2 linked regions of the Arabidopsis thaliana genome follow. The protein of the gene in region 1 interacts with the protein of each later gene in a pairwise test. Each region holds a gene or a part of one and is shown on either strand. Other genes may lie near its edges.

What was found. Proteins that work in one complex are often made in the same cells at the same time.
Region 2: the proteins of BBX21 (region 1) and AT5G47060 interact in a two-hybrid assay, tested with the Arabidopsis thaliana proteins (one study listed by BioGRID).

Annotation. Positions count from the first base shown.
Region 1 is NC_003070.9:28,362,945-28,368,963, forward strand, and holds BBX21 (salt tolerance homolog2), read left to right. Parts: upstream 1-2,879; 5' UTR 2,880-3,114; coding exon 3,115-3,306; intron 3,307-3,401; coding exon 3,402-3,827; intron 3,828-4,076; coding exon 4,077-4,454; 3' UTR 4,455-4,794; downstream 4,795-6,019. Other genes in the region: AT1G75550 (glycine-rich protein), read right to left, coding at 5,735-5,850. UniProt on the Arabidopsis thaliana protein: Transcription activator that acts as a positive regulator of seedling photomorphogenesis. Acts downstream of COP1 and play an important role in early and long-term adjustment of the shade avoidance syndrome (SAS) responses in natural environments.
Region 2 is NC_003076.8:19,114,055-19,120,268, forward strand, and holds AT5G47060 (hypothetical protein (DUF581)), read left to right. Parts: upstream 1-2,730; 5' UTR 2,731-2,788; coding exon 2,789-3,141; intron 3,142-3,404; coding exon 3,405-3,585; 3' UTR 3,586-4,163; intron 4,164-4,410; downstream 4,411-6,214. Other genes in the region: AT5G47070 (Protein kinase superfamily protein), read right to left, coding at 4,629-5,099, 5,206-5,328, 5,544-5,795, 6,088-6,214. UniProt on the Arabidopsis thaliana protein: May act as an adapter to facilitate the interaction of SnRK1 complex with effector proteins, conferring tissue- and stimulus-type specific differences in the SnRK1 regulation pathway.

The DNA of each region.
Region 1 (6,019 bases):
TACGGTATTAGATTGTTTGTTGTTCGTGTTTGTCATTAAACAATAAACGTCGTTTTTTTAAATATTATTTACATGTTTTGTGTAAAGCCACAAAAAGAATAGTGCAGTCCATTGGTGACTGTGATGACACTTTCCTCGCTTCAGATCAGACTATTGGCGTAAGCGATTACGTATTAATTTCAACAACATATATAGTAAGAATTAGAATTTGGATTATTATGCACTTTTTACACACTATAAAACTCTAAGTTTTAGTTTAATTATCAGCTTTTTAGTAATGGTCCCTGTATACGTTTCATGCTTCAAAAAAAATATGTCAAATAATGTGGGGCATATTCATTATACGTTAAATTAATGAAACTCGCATAGTGGTCCAGCAAAATCAATAAATTCGTTTTAATAAAGAACATTATTATTAAATCGCTGTTAAGAGTCGAGAGGTTTCCATATTGTCCTCCCCACCATCTGCCCATTCCGATCCAACTAATTTCCTTATTATATTCTACAAATATATAAATACTTTAATAACCAATGGGATAGTTGTTAACTTCTATCAACGTGAAATTATTTTGACACAAATATTATTTGGTTTCACTAAATTTGTTTAATTTCAATAATATTGTGGGAGTAGATGACCTAGAGTAGGAGTTTAAGTGTGGAGCTTCGAACAACGTACGAGAGACACGGCGGACCAAACGAGCCACGTGTTGTCTCTCTTCTTTGCCCATCCCTTCTTCTACCTTCTTTGAACGTCAAATTCTTATAGGTTGAAATTTAGTTTCAATGTTCAAAACAGAAAATAATGAATTAAGAACATAATCCAGCCTACCAGAAATAATATCAAAACAAATTTGCCGTTCATATTAAAATGTTTTTCGCCATGATTATCCACTTGATAAAATGTAGTACATGAGATGAGACTATGAAGTGGGACCCGTCTGCTCCCTAGCTCACATCAAAAGTTATAACTATTCTACTAAAGTAATCTTGCGTTAGACGCTGTTCACATGGATGCTGTATTATGCGCTCAAATATTAATATCGAATTTAAGTTTAAAGAACTGTCTAAAAAACTCCACACTGCTGCACTGAATCTCGATTTGAAATATCTTTGTATCAAACATGTTAATTACTGATTGGCACATGTTTCTTTATTATTGTTTTGAAAAATAAAAATCTACATTAACTTGACTGATATAACATTTAGTAACATTAGAACTGCGGGAGATATATGATTACAAAGATCATTTTCAATCTGAGTATTTTCAATCATTTTCATACCATAGAAACATTTATAAATTCTTGATTAACCACTGCAACAATGCAACATTGGATCGAGCTTCCACGACTAAAAGGGTATTTCTATGGACTATGGGGACTCCTATTATAGATATTTAGGGGGCATATACATGGATTCTTAAAAGAGAATTACAACTTTCAAATCATTATCATATTCCAATATGGGTTCAAAGTTTCTTTAAGCATACGCCTTTAGTTAATTGGAGAATCTTTTATTCTTTAATATATATAATGCTTTTTCAGGGATATAATGTAGTAATTTACAAGATACAGTTCTACTAGATTTCACTCCTGAAAAAGTAAACTTTATAATCTTTGGTTGTTACTTGATAGTGGTTCTAGATTTTGAAACTTATCCTTATTCCTTAATATTTTATATATCTATACGAACCAATTAATATCTTTTTACTTTTAAGAAACCATGTAAGGTTTTATCATACTAAAAAGAAAAATCTAGTTTTGTCTCCATTTGCTAGCTAGGTTTTCCCCTGTTTTAAGACTAGAAAATATACGTAGCTAACAAATCTGTATAAAAACCAAAAAAAAGTATTAAGAATCAAGCCGAACTAAATGACATTTGATTTTCATTCCATTTATATATATTTGAACTGATAAAATTATAACTGAAATTAATAAGCATTATTGGGCATCTAATTATTTATTTATTTTGACTGAACAATCTTTCAGAATTCAAGATAGAAATAAAAGCAAAATAAAAATAAAATGACTAGAGAAATGTAATTCTAATTTGTCATAAAAGGAAACCACTGAGACATTATCTGTTTAATTATTGATGTAGAAGGAAAGACTCCCACTAGTCCCACTTGGTTCGATACCCGCGCTTCAGCCTTCACACCATCCACGTCCAGTGCAAAATTCTTCGGGCTTCCACTATATAATCTTCTAAACAAAGATAACACAATAAAATATAACAAGATGATATATTCAAATATAATCTTATCCGATCCTCTATTTTGGAGTTGGCGTGCGTGACTGCATGCCATGAAGTATAATATAGATGGAAATTTGAATAAACATGAGATCAATCGGCTAAAAGCAAGGTTGTGTTATATCGATCATCTTAATTCTGATGTAAATGTTTTGACATAAGCGTACGTATAGGTATGATACTAGTAAAAATACAAGTTTAAACCTGTCTGATTGTTCACATTTCTTAAGTTAAATTAGTCAATCGAAAAGTGAAGTTTTAAAGAGTTAATGTTGTTTACATTCGATGGTATATAAGTGAGTTTTCCATCATTTTTAGTTTCATTATGAAAACATTGTCTACTTCAATTTTTTGTTTCCAAGTTAGGAGAATTAAACAGAAAATTTTTCATTGCTACTATTTAAGTTCTATTTATTTTGTTTTTTTGAATGCTATCAAACAATCGAATGGAATGCCAATAAATTTATTTGAATATATCATTCTTATTTTTTTTTGCTGGAAAATATAATTAGTTTACATTGAGGAACTACCGAACTATCATGGGCATAATTACTTCTCATCAGTCAAGCTCTCATTATATCGCTGTGTTTTATTAATCCAACAAAGTAATAATTAATTATTTTTTTTACTTCATGGACATCTCATATAAAACAAGAAATAATTTTCTAGGAATAAAAAAGAAAAGAAAAAGAGAGATATAATTAAACAAAAAAAAAAAGATATGATTTGAGAAACAAGAAAGAAGGAAAAAAGAGGAGCTGATATTACATAAGTACCCTCTTACATTACTACTCCATAAGAAGATCTCACATCTTCTCTCCTATCATTTTCAACTACCACCATCTCTATCTCTCTCTTAATCGATCGATGAAGATCAGGTGCGACGTCTGCGATAAAGAAGAAGCGTCGGTGTTTTGCACGGCCGACGAAGCATCTCTCTGCGGCGGCTGCGACCACCAAGTCCACCACGCTAACAAACTCGCCTCTAAACATCTCCGTTTCTCTCTCCTTTATCCTTCTTCTTCCAACACCTCCTCTCCTCTCTGCGACATCTGTCAGGTCTCTTTCTAACTTCGGACATGAGTTTTGTTGTCTTAATTCAATCGTTTTTGCCGATCAAGAATCTGAAACTTTTTCTTTTTATTGAACTCTAGGATAAAAAAGCTCTGTTGTTCTGTCAACAAGATAGAGCTATTTTATGCAAAGATTGCGATTCATCGATCCACGCTGCGAACGAACACACAAAGAAACACGATAGGTTTCTTCTTACAGGGGTTAAGCTCTCTGCAACATCGTCTGTTTACAAACCTACTTCGAAATCTTCTTCTTCTTCTTCAAGCAACCAAGATTTCTCTGTCCCTGGATCATCAATCTCTAATCCTCCTCCTCTCAAGAAACCTCTCTCAGCTCCTCCTCAGAGCAACAAGATCCAACCCTTTTCGAAGATCAACGGCGGTGATGCGTCGGTGAATCAGTGGGGATCCACAAGCACGATTTCTGAGTATTTGATGGATACGTTACCTGGTTGGCACGTTGAGGATTTCCTCGATTCCTCTCTTCCTACTTATGGTTTCTCTAAGGTTTGTTCTTATCTCTTTAATCAAGAAAGATCCAAGTTTAGTTGATTTCAAGATTTGACAATGACCCTTAGTAGATTGAATTTTTTTTTCCTCTGTTTACGTAATATCATATCATTTTAGATCTAATGAGGTATTAATGTATTATAAAGGTAACAAACTTTATAGATGTGGATAGATCTTTTTACTATATTGGGTATTTGTGTAAAATTTCTGAAAAAGAGTTGTTGGTTATCTTTTGTGTGATTGCAGAGTGGTGATGATGATGGAGTGTTACCATATATGGAACCAGAAGATGACAACAACACTAAGAGAAACAACAACAACAACAACAACAACAACAACAATACAGTGTCACTTCCATCTAAGAATTTAGGGATTTGGGTCCCTCAGATTCCACAAACTCTTCCTTCTTCATACCCAAATCAATACTTTTCTCAAGACAACAACATACAGTTTGGGATGTACAACAAAGAAACATCACCAGAAGTAGTGTCTTTTGCTCCAATACAAAACATGAAACAACAAGGACAGAACAACAAGAGATGGTATGATGATGGTGGCTTCACTGTCCCACAGATCACTCCTCCTCCTCTTTCTTCTAATAAAAAGTTTAGATCTTTCTGGTAATTTTACTATCTCCCTAAATGGGGGAGTTTTTTTTTTGTTTGTTTGTTTCTCCTTCATTTCTCCCAACTTTGATCTCAATAGAATTAGGCTCTCTCTTTTTTTGTGTTCTGTCATTTTGTAAATTTGAGTGTGATTGCGGTTTTGCTGTTTTAATCTTTGTAATAATCATATAATCTCTTTCCATTAATGCACATGTTTCATGTACAAAATCCTATGACTCGTTGTTTAATTTGTAAACTTTCTTTTTGTCGTGGAAACAAGATTTCAGAGAAAAATTAGTTTATTTTCAATTATCATCTACATTATTTTTGTTTTCTCAAGGAAAAGAAAGTCAAACTTTAAAGTAAAGTTACAAATTCGATGAATGAAATCTAGTGGTGCGTATATTTTAGTATATGAGGACAGTCTTTTCTTTTTCATCTTCTGCCTCTTCAGTCCCCATAGCCCATATGGGGAAAGGATTGTTCTTGGATTTGGTTTGTATATAAATAATATATCTTAGGAAATAAACGATAAGAAAAAGAGCATATAATGGAGACAAATTCACAATAACGTGCCCATCACCATCGCCCATCGGCATATTTTTTGTTTTCTGATTGAATATGCCTGCATAGATCTCTGATGACTAAGGAGTATGGACACCTCATCATGGCAGGCAAAACATATTTAAATTAATTAAAGTACCGACTAGTCGTTTACTTGTTAAAGTTACCAAACTAAAATGGTACAAAAACAAGTAAGAAAATAAGAGTTATATTTATATATCTTTTTTTTTTTTTTTGGGTTATATTTATATATCTTTCGTTGTGTTTAGCAGGCCCAACTAATTGAGGCCTATTTTTGATTTCAAAATATCAACCATTTGCTTTTCATATGGTTGATACTCGATATTTATGTTTTTAGTAGTACTGTATTCCTCATTGGTTTTAGTGTTTTTAGGTGCTGGCAAGTAGCAAAGCCTCAAAGGCATTATCTAAAAGAGACATATGATTCTGTGATTCTGTGACCGGCAGCCAAAACATATGCCGAAAAAGATGAATGATTAAAGTTTGAGTCATGAATGCTCCCCAGAAAGATTTTTATTTCTTCACCTTTTCGAACTATTTTCTATGGTCATATACTTGGATAATTTCTCGAAAGTATTTTCCACTTTCATATGTACACTCACTAACCTATGTGATCCAGTGATCAGGATAAGATCGAGATAATGTTTTAAGCAACAAGGAGACATACAGTAAAATAATGATCAAGAGATAGTAGTAGTATAATATTGGTCATTGTCATGCTCTAGAATAGATCATGCTGATATCGGGTTGACACATTTTCTTTTTGGTCAATACTGACTGTTGCATAGCTCCGGATACTAGTGTGAACTTTGGTTTGAGATACCAAATTACTACAAAAAAACAATCACTTAAATATTAATTCCTCTTGTAAACAAATGAGTCTAGTTCTTAACGTAATAATCACCTATTTAGATTTGCTAATTTAACAATGACCTATATTGTTTTGCTTCGCCTCTTTGCTTTTCCACGAACTAATTAATTTTCTCTTTTACAGTTTTA
Region 2 (6,214 bases), on another chromosome or scaffold:
ATTGGAAGAGATTCATATTTTGCACGTTATAGTAACTTGTTAATTTTTTTATATGATATAATAAATAAGTTAAGACGGTAACTATAAATATATCACATAAATTATAACTTATGACGATACAAAATAACTTAGCATGATATAATTATAAACTTATTGATATAAATATTTTGTTATCATGTTAACCTAATAAGTATTACCGAGATATTTGTTATCATGTTATTCTGATAATACGTTATCTGCTAACTATTCTGATTCATGTATTTTTTACATGATTATTAAGTCGCAAGTCAACTTTTTTGCTTTATATGCTAAATATTTTGTTACTTTTTAATAATAATGTTATCGTCTTCGCATATATATCCGTATAATAACCATATTGTAACTATGACAATTTTGTAATTAATCCAAATATGAAAGATACTTTTGGTTTATATTTTTTTTCTCTTTCATATTTACCTAATTTTTAAATTATCTCTTCTACTTTTTTAATTTCAACTTCTTCTAAGTATATAAATTTAATTCACCCACTAGATTTTAACCCGCGGTATACCGCAGAGACAATTTATTTTTTAAATTAGTATATATAAAAATTTACAAATTAAATCTATTTATTTTTATTTTATAGTTTACAATTGTTATTAAATAACATCCTGCCAAACCCGTCTCGCCAAATCCGTCCCGTAAAAAAAACCCGCCGTACACCACTAATTTAAATATATAATTAAAATAAATATTTTATGGGATTGCAATTGTATTTTAGTTTGTCAAACAAATATTTGTTTTAAATAGTTGCCAAAATCTAGTTCAAATTTTGGAGAAAAAAGATTTATTGGATAGATAAAGAATGTATTTAGGTGTGTTTTGTTCATTTTAAGGGATTGCAATTATATTTTTGTTTGTCAAATATTTATTGTTTTAAATAGTTGCTGAATACTATGTGCGTGACATATGAGATTGGAATATATTTGGAATATTTTTAGTTTGTTAATCAAATTATTTCTGGAAAAAAATCAATAATTAAAATGGCAGTCATTGTAAATAAGTCTAAACTTCATAATTTATTTAACAAAATAGCTGCATTATATAGACAATAAAATGACTTTTTTTTTCCTTTGTTTCTCATATATTGATAGATCACATAATTTATTGAATTAATATATACAAACAAGAGTTCCACTAATTCTTATTTGTTATTTCGATTCCACTATTCAACAAGGTCCACACTATTATTAGAAATTCAAACTATACTTACCATAAATATCGAAATCACAACTAGTCAGTCACACACCTATTCTAACATTAGAAAAACACCGACCTCATTGCACCACTATTATTTGTAGTTGTACCTCACAAAGCACCTCCCTCAAAGTCTTCGCAAAAACGTCACCCACCACCACGAAAATTCATAACCAAATAAAACGACAATTTTGTAATTCTTGATTTAATAAAAAAATTAAGTAAAAAACAATATTCTTACCATTTTGTCGCCATATAATAAGAAGAAGAGAGACACAACACAACACAAGTAGTAGAAGTGGTGTAGTGATTACGGTGTAACGCTTATTCCAAAAACCCCACGCGCGTAGGGCCCACCTCTCCCCCGAATCCCCATGATTTTCTTTAACGTCTCTCGAGTGCTGGTGGGACCCTTGTTTTATGGAACCCTGATGTAGTTTTATGTACTTTCATTTGTGACCCTTATACTTCTGTTAATTACAATCTTGCCGCTATTTTGTTGCTTCCTTCTTGTTTTTGTTACCTTAAAACTTTTGTTTGAATGCCTTCAGAAAAAGTTTACTTCTCTTTAGACGGATGTGATCACTTGTTCAATGTAACACCACCGTAAGTTACAGTGGTTAAAATGTCTGGTAGAATTATAGCTGTATATATTTATTGATCTCTAAAAAATTAGCTTGTAGAAATTATTGTCTTTAAATTGTTAGTAGGATCCATCCAACTACTACTTAAAAAAATCTGATTAGTATAAGATATATTTATGATTAATAGAAAAATAATTTTTGTACAAGAGATTAATAACTAAGATAGTAAAATTCTATCATTTCATTTCTAAAACCAAAATAGATGAAATTAATAAATAAATAATTATTGATTTCATGTGTGTTTAAACAATTTTTTTTTGTATCACATTATGTAAAGTAACAAGTTATCAATTTCATAAAAAAATATTTACGATAATTACATTGTTTTCTTAATTTTTTTGTCGACTATATATCTTAAAAATAATGTTAAAAATGCAACAATTTTGACAGTAATTCCTAATCATACGAAAATTTTCAAACTTTGCAACTTCTTCATGTATTATTGCATTGACAATCAGTTAATAATTTTACTTTAATAATGTTGTCTAAGTAAAAAAGAAAATTAAAAGTTAATAATTGAACTAAAAAGTGAATGTCGAAAAAAAACATTTAACTTTTTTACTTAGCTCTCTCGAAAGTTCCTCAAAAACCGAAGGACGAGTAAGTCACGAAAAAGACCATTTTGTAACGCCTCTCTATCAATTATTCCTCTATGTGTCAATAAAGTATATTTCTCAAAAGGAAAACAACAAAAATGGTTTTCGATTTCTTGTACTTTCAAAAATAGCATAAAAGCCAATAGATTCTCCTCTCTCAAAGTTTCGCCCCTTGTTTTTACTTTCTCTCTCTTAAACCCCAAAAAAAAAAAAAAGATCTTTTGCTATAAAATCCCACTTCACACTTTCTTCACATCAACAACAAAACCTCTCTCTCTTTCACTTTCTCTCTAAAAACCAGAAAAAAAAAAAATGGAGCTTTCATCGAGAAAGCCTTATTTCATTGAGGAAGAAGAAGAAGAGAATTTGGCTTCTTCTTTATCAGAAATGGAAGCTGGGTTTTCTGGTAACAATAATAATAGTAATAACCATGGAAATCCCCAAAACGGTGTCGTTTCTTCAAGCCGTTTCTCTTACGGTAGATTAAACAGTCTTAGGAACAGTCAGAGTTATTATTACAATCAATACTCTGTTTCGTCTCCGAGATCTGTTGTGTCTGGAAGATTTCATGATTTCAGATTCGATATTCAACAACCTCATTTCTTGGACTCGTGTTTCCTCTGTAAGAAACCTCTTGGTGATAACAGAGACATCTACATGTACAGGTAACATCTAAGATCTATAACATCAGATCTGTTTTTTTTTTGTTTTCTATCAATTTCTCTCATTTTTAGTCGAAATTATTACGAAAGGATTGATTTTTTTCGAATACCCATTTCTTCAATCTTCTGATTAATCAATTAAACGATTCATGGGTCTGATTTCAAATTCCTCTGTTTTTGGTACAAATTCTAGAACAGAACATATTTTTAATTTTGTTGTTTCATGGGTCTGATTTGAAGTTTTTGATTTTGTGAATTTTTTGCAGAGGAGATACACCGTTTTGCAGTGAAGAGTGTAGACAAGAACAGATAGAGAGAGATGAAGCAAAAGAGAAGAAACAGAATCTGTCTCATTCGGTGAAATCAGCTATGCGGAGGAAAGAACAATCTTCACCAACTAGATCTCGTGATTATGCTTTTCACAATGGAACTGTTGCTGCTGCTTAATTAAAAATATCTGGGAACTTTGAGAATTATTATAATTAATTAGGTTAAGAAAAAAATAAGCTATATTGTATCTAACGCTATGAAGCTGGTTTTGGATCCTCTCTCTTTCTCTCGAGATCTTAAGGATCTTTTAAAACTTTAGCTTCAAGTCTTGGGAAAAAGATGAAGAAGCTAAAGATCCTTTAATTTTCTTTTCTTTTTTTGTAAGAAAAAAATAGTTTCTTGACATGAAATTTTGGGAGTATGAGAAGAGAAAATGTAAATGCCTATGTGAATTATAATAGTCCATGGCATGTTTGAGTTATATTTTTTCTTTTGTTTTTAGATTTCGGTATCAATGTCTTTCGAGGGATATACAGATGTTAAATCAAATTTTAATATGTTGAAATATGAGAATATTATACGAGAAAACAAGAGTAAGCATTTTTTTTTAACTTGCTATATAGTTTTTTTTTTGGTAAGTACTTGCTATATAGTTTAAATGACGTATTTGTGATTTGATATAAGATTGAGCAATAGTTTGAAATTGATTCTTTTTGTGGTAAGATTTGGTGACTTGCGAAAAGTGGGAAATAAAGGTATAAAATATCTTTTTCCTTCAAATGCTTTTGATAGTACAGTTTTCTTTTTCTTCACGAAATCGGTAGTACAATATTTTCTGAAACAAATAATTAGATATCTTTTTTGATTATCAGTGGACCAGAAACTCAAATAAATTGAAGTATAAATATATATATATATATATTAAAATAAGATTTGTAGAATGTAATAATGCTTAAAACGTATAAAGTTTTCATGATAAATTCCAAACAACAACATTGCATTTGCATTCGTACATAGAAAACTTTGGCTAAAACGTTACGCTATCAACATCAAAACACTCTCATAAAACTTGATCTCAATGATTCTCATTCACCGTATTGAATTTTATTTACAAAACACACAATAAGATACATTTTCTCTACTAATCTCACAATAAACCAACAAATTGCATAAACTTATTTATAATATATAAACTTGCAAAAAAACTTCTAAACTCAAAATCATCCTCTGACACTAACCCCTCTCAAACTTTGTTTCTCAGGTTTTGCAACTTGTCTCCTCCTTACCTGACTACTTTCCTTGGTCGTAGTCGTAGCCATCGGATAATCTTCACTATCCGATTCTTCGATAATCTTTTTCAATCTTTCCACTACAATTTCCATCGTAGGTCGCTCTTTATCGTTCTTTTTCAGGCAAAGATCAGCCAATTTAGCCAAACTCCTAGCTCCAGCAGCTGGATAATTGTTGCGTAACCGAGGGTCAACGATCATGCTGAAACGTTGACTATCAGCAGGATACTCTTTGACCCAATCCAATAGCCTTCGTTCAGCCACTGGCTTGTTCCTCTCAATGGTTCTGCGTCCGGTTATGATCTCGTAGAGCACAACACCGAAGCTATAGACGTCGCTCTTTAACCGAAGATGACCTGTTTGCACGTATTCCGGAGCCGCATAGCCGTGTGTTCCAACTCTCTATACATAGAAAGAAGAAGAACTGTTAAAACTTTGTAACAGATTCATCACTTTAAAGTACGAGTGAGCTTATAAAATGCACATTTATATATCAAACCAAACTTACTGCGGTAGTGACATGAGTATTGTCGCCATCAGGTCCTTCTCTGGCAAGCCCAAAGTCCGATAATTTTGGACAGAATTGATCGTCTAAAAGCACATTAGAGGATTTGAAATCTCTATATATCACCTGTCAACCAAATAAATAGGAAATTATCTTCCAATCTAAACACTAAACACACATCCCCGGTTCACAGAAGTCTCGATCCTAAACTACTAATCATGTCTCTATGACCACATTTAATATAACTTAATGTTTAACATTGTGCCTGTCCGAAAATATCAAGAACAATAAAAAGGGTCTGTCTAAAACCAGATTTCCTCTAATGGGTTTCGAAATTTTACCTTAAGATCATGTAAATAAGTCAATCCTTCAGCAGCACCAAGCATGATCTCGAGTCTTTTTTTCCACGGTAATGTGTGTGATCGACGAGGGAAGAGATGGTCTTCTAAACTTCGATTCGACATGTACTCATAAACCAAAAGCCTCTCGATCCCGGTCTCGCCGTCTTCCGAGCAATAACCTATGAGCTTCACAACGTTCGGATGATTCACTACTCCAAGAAACTGAACCTCTGCTAGCCATTGCTTGTGACCCTAATACACCATTCAAACACAGAGAAAGGAATATTACTAAAGCAACAAAGTTGACTTAATAAATGCATCCATTGACTCATACTTACTTTTCCATTTGACCATTCCACTAAATCTTTATATCAAGATTACGAAATTTCTTCAACTTTACTTCAAACAAGTGACAAAATTTGATTTTGCTTCATAATTGCATCAATCTAATCTTCTATTTCAACTTCTTAGCTTCAATTAATTGGTTAATTTATCTTCTAATGATTATATTAGCAACAAAGCAGAGAGAAGATTAACTTTTTACCTGTAAACCTTGTCGATTGAGTTTCTTGATGGCAACGACAAGTGGAGGATCAGAAGAATCTCCATTGCTGAGAATCTTTCCTTTATAAACAATACCAAATCCACCTTCACCGATCACAAGCTTTCTG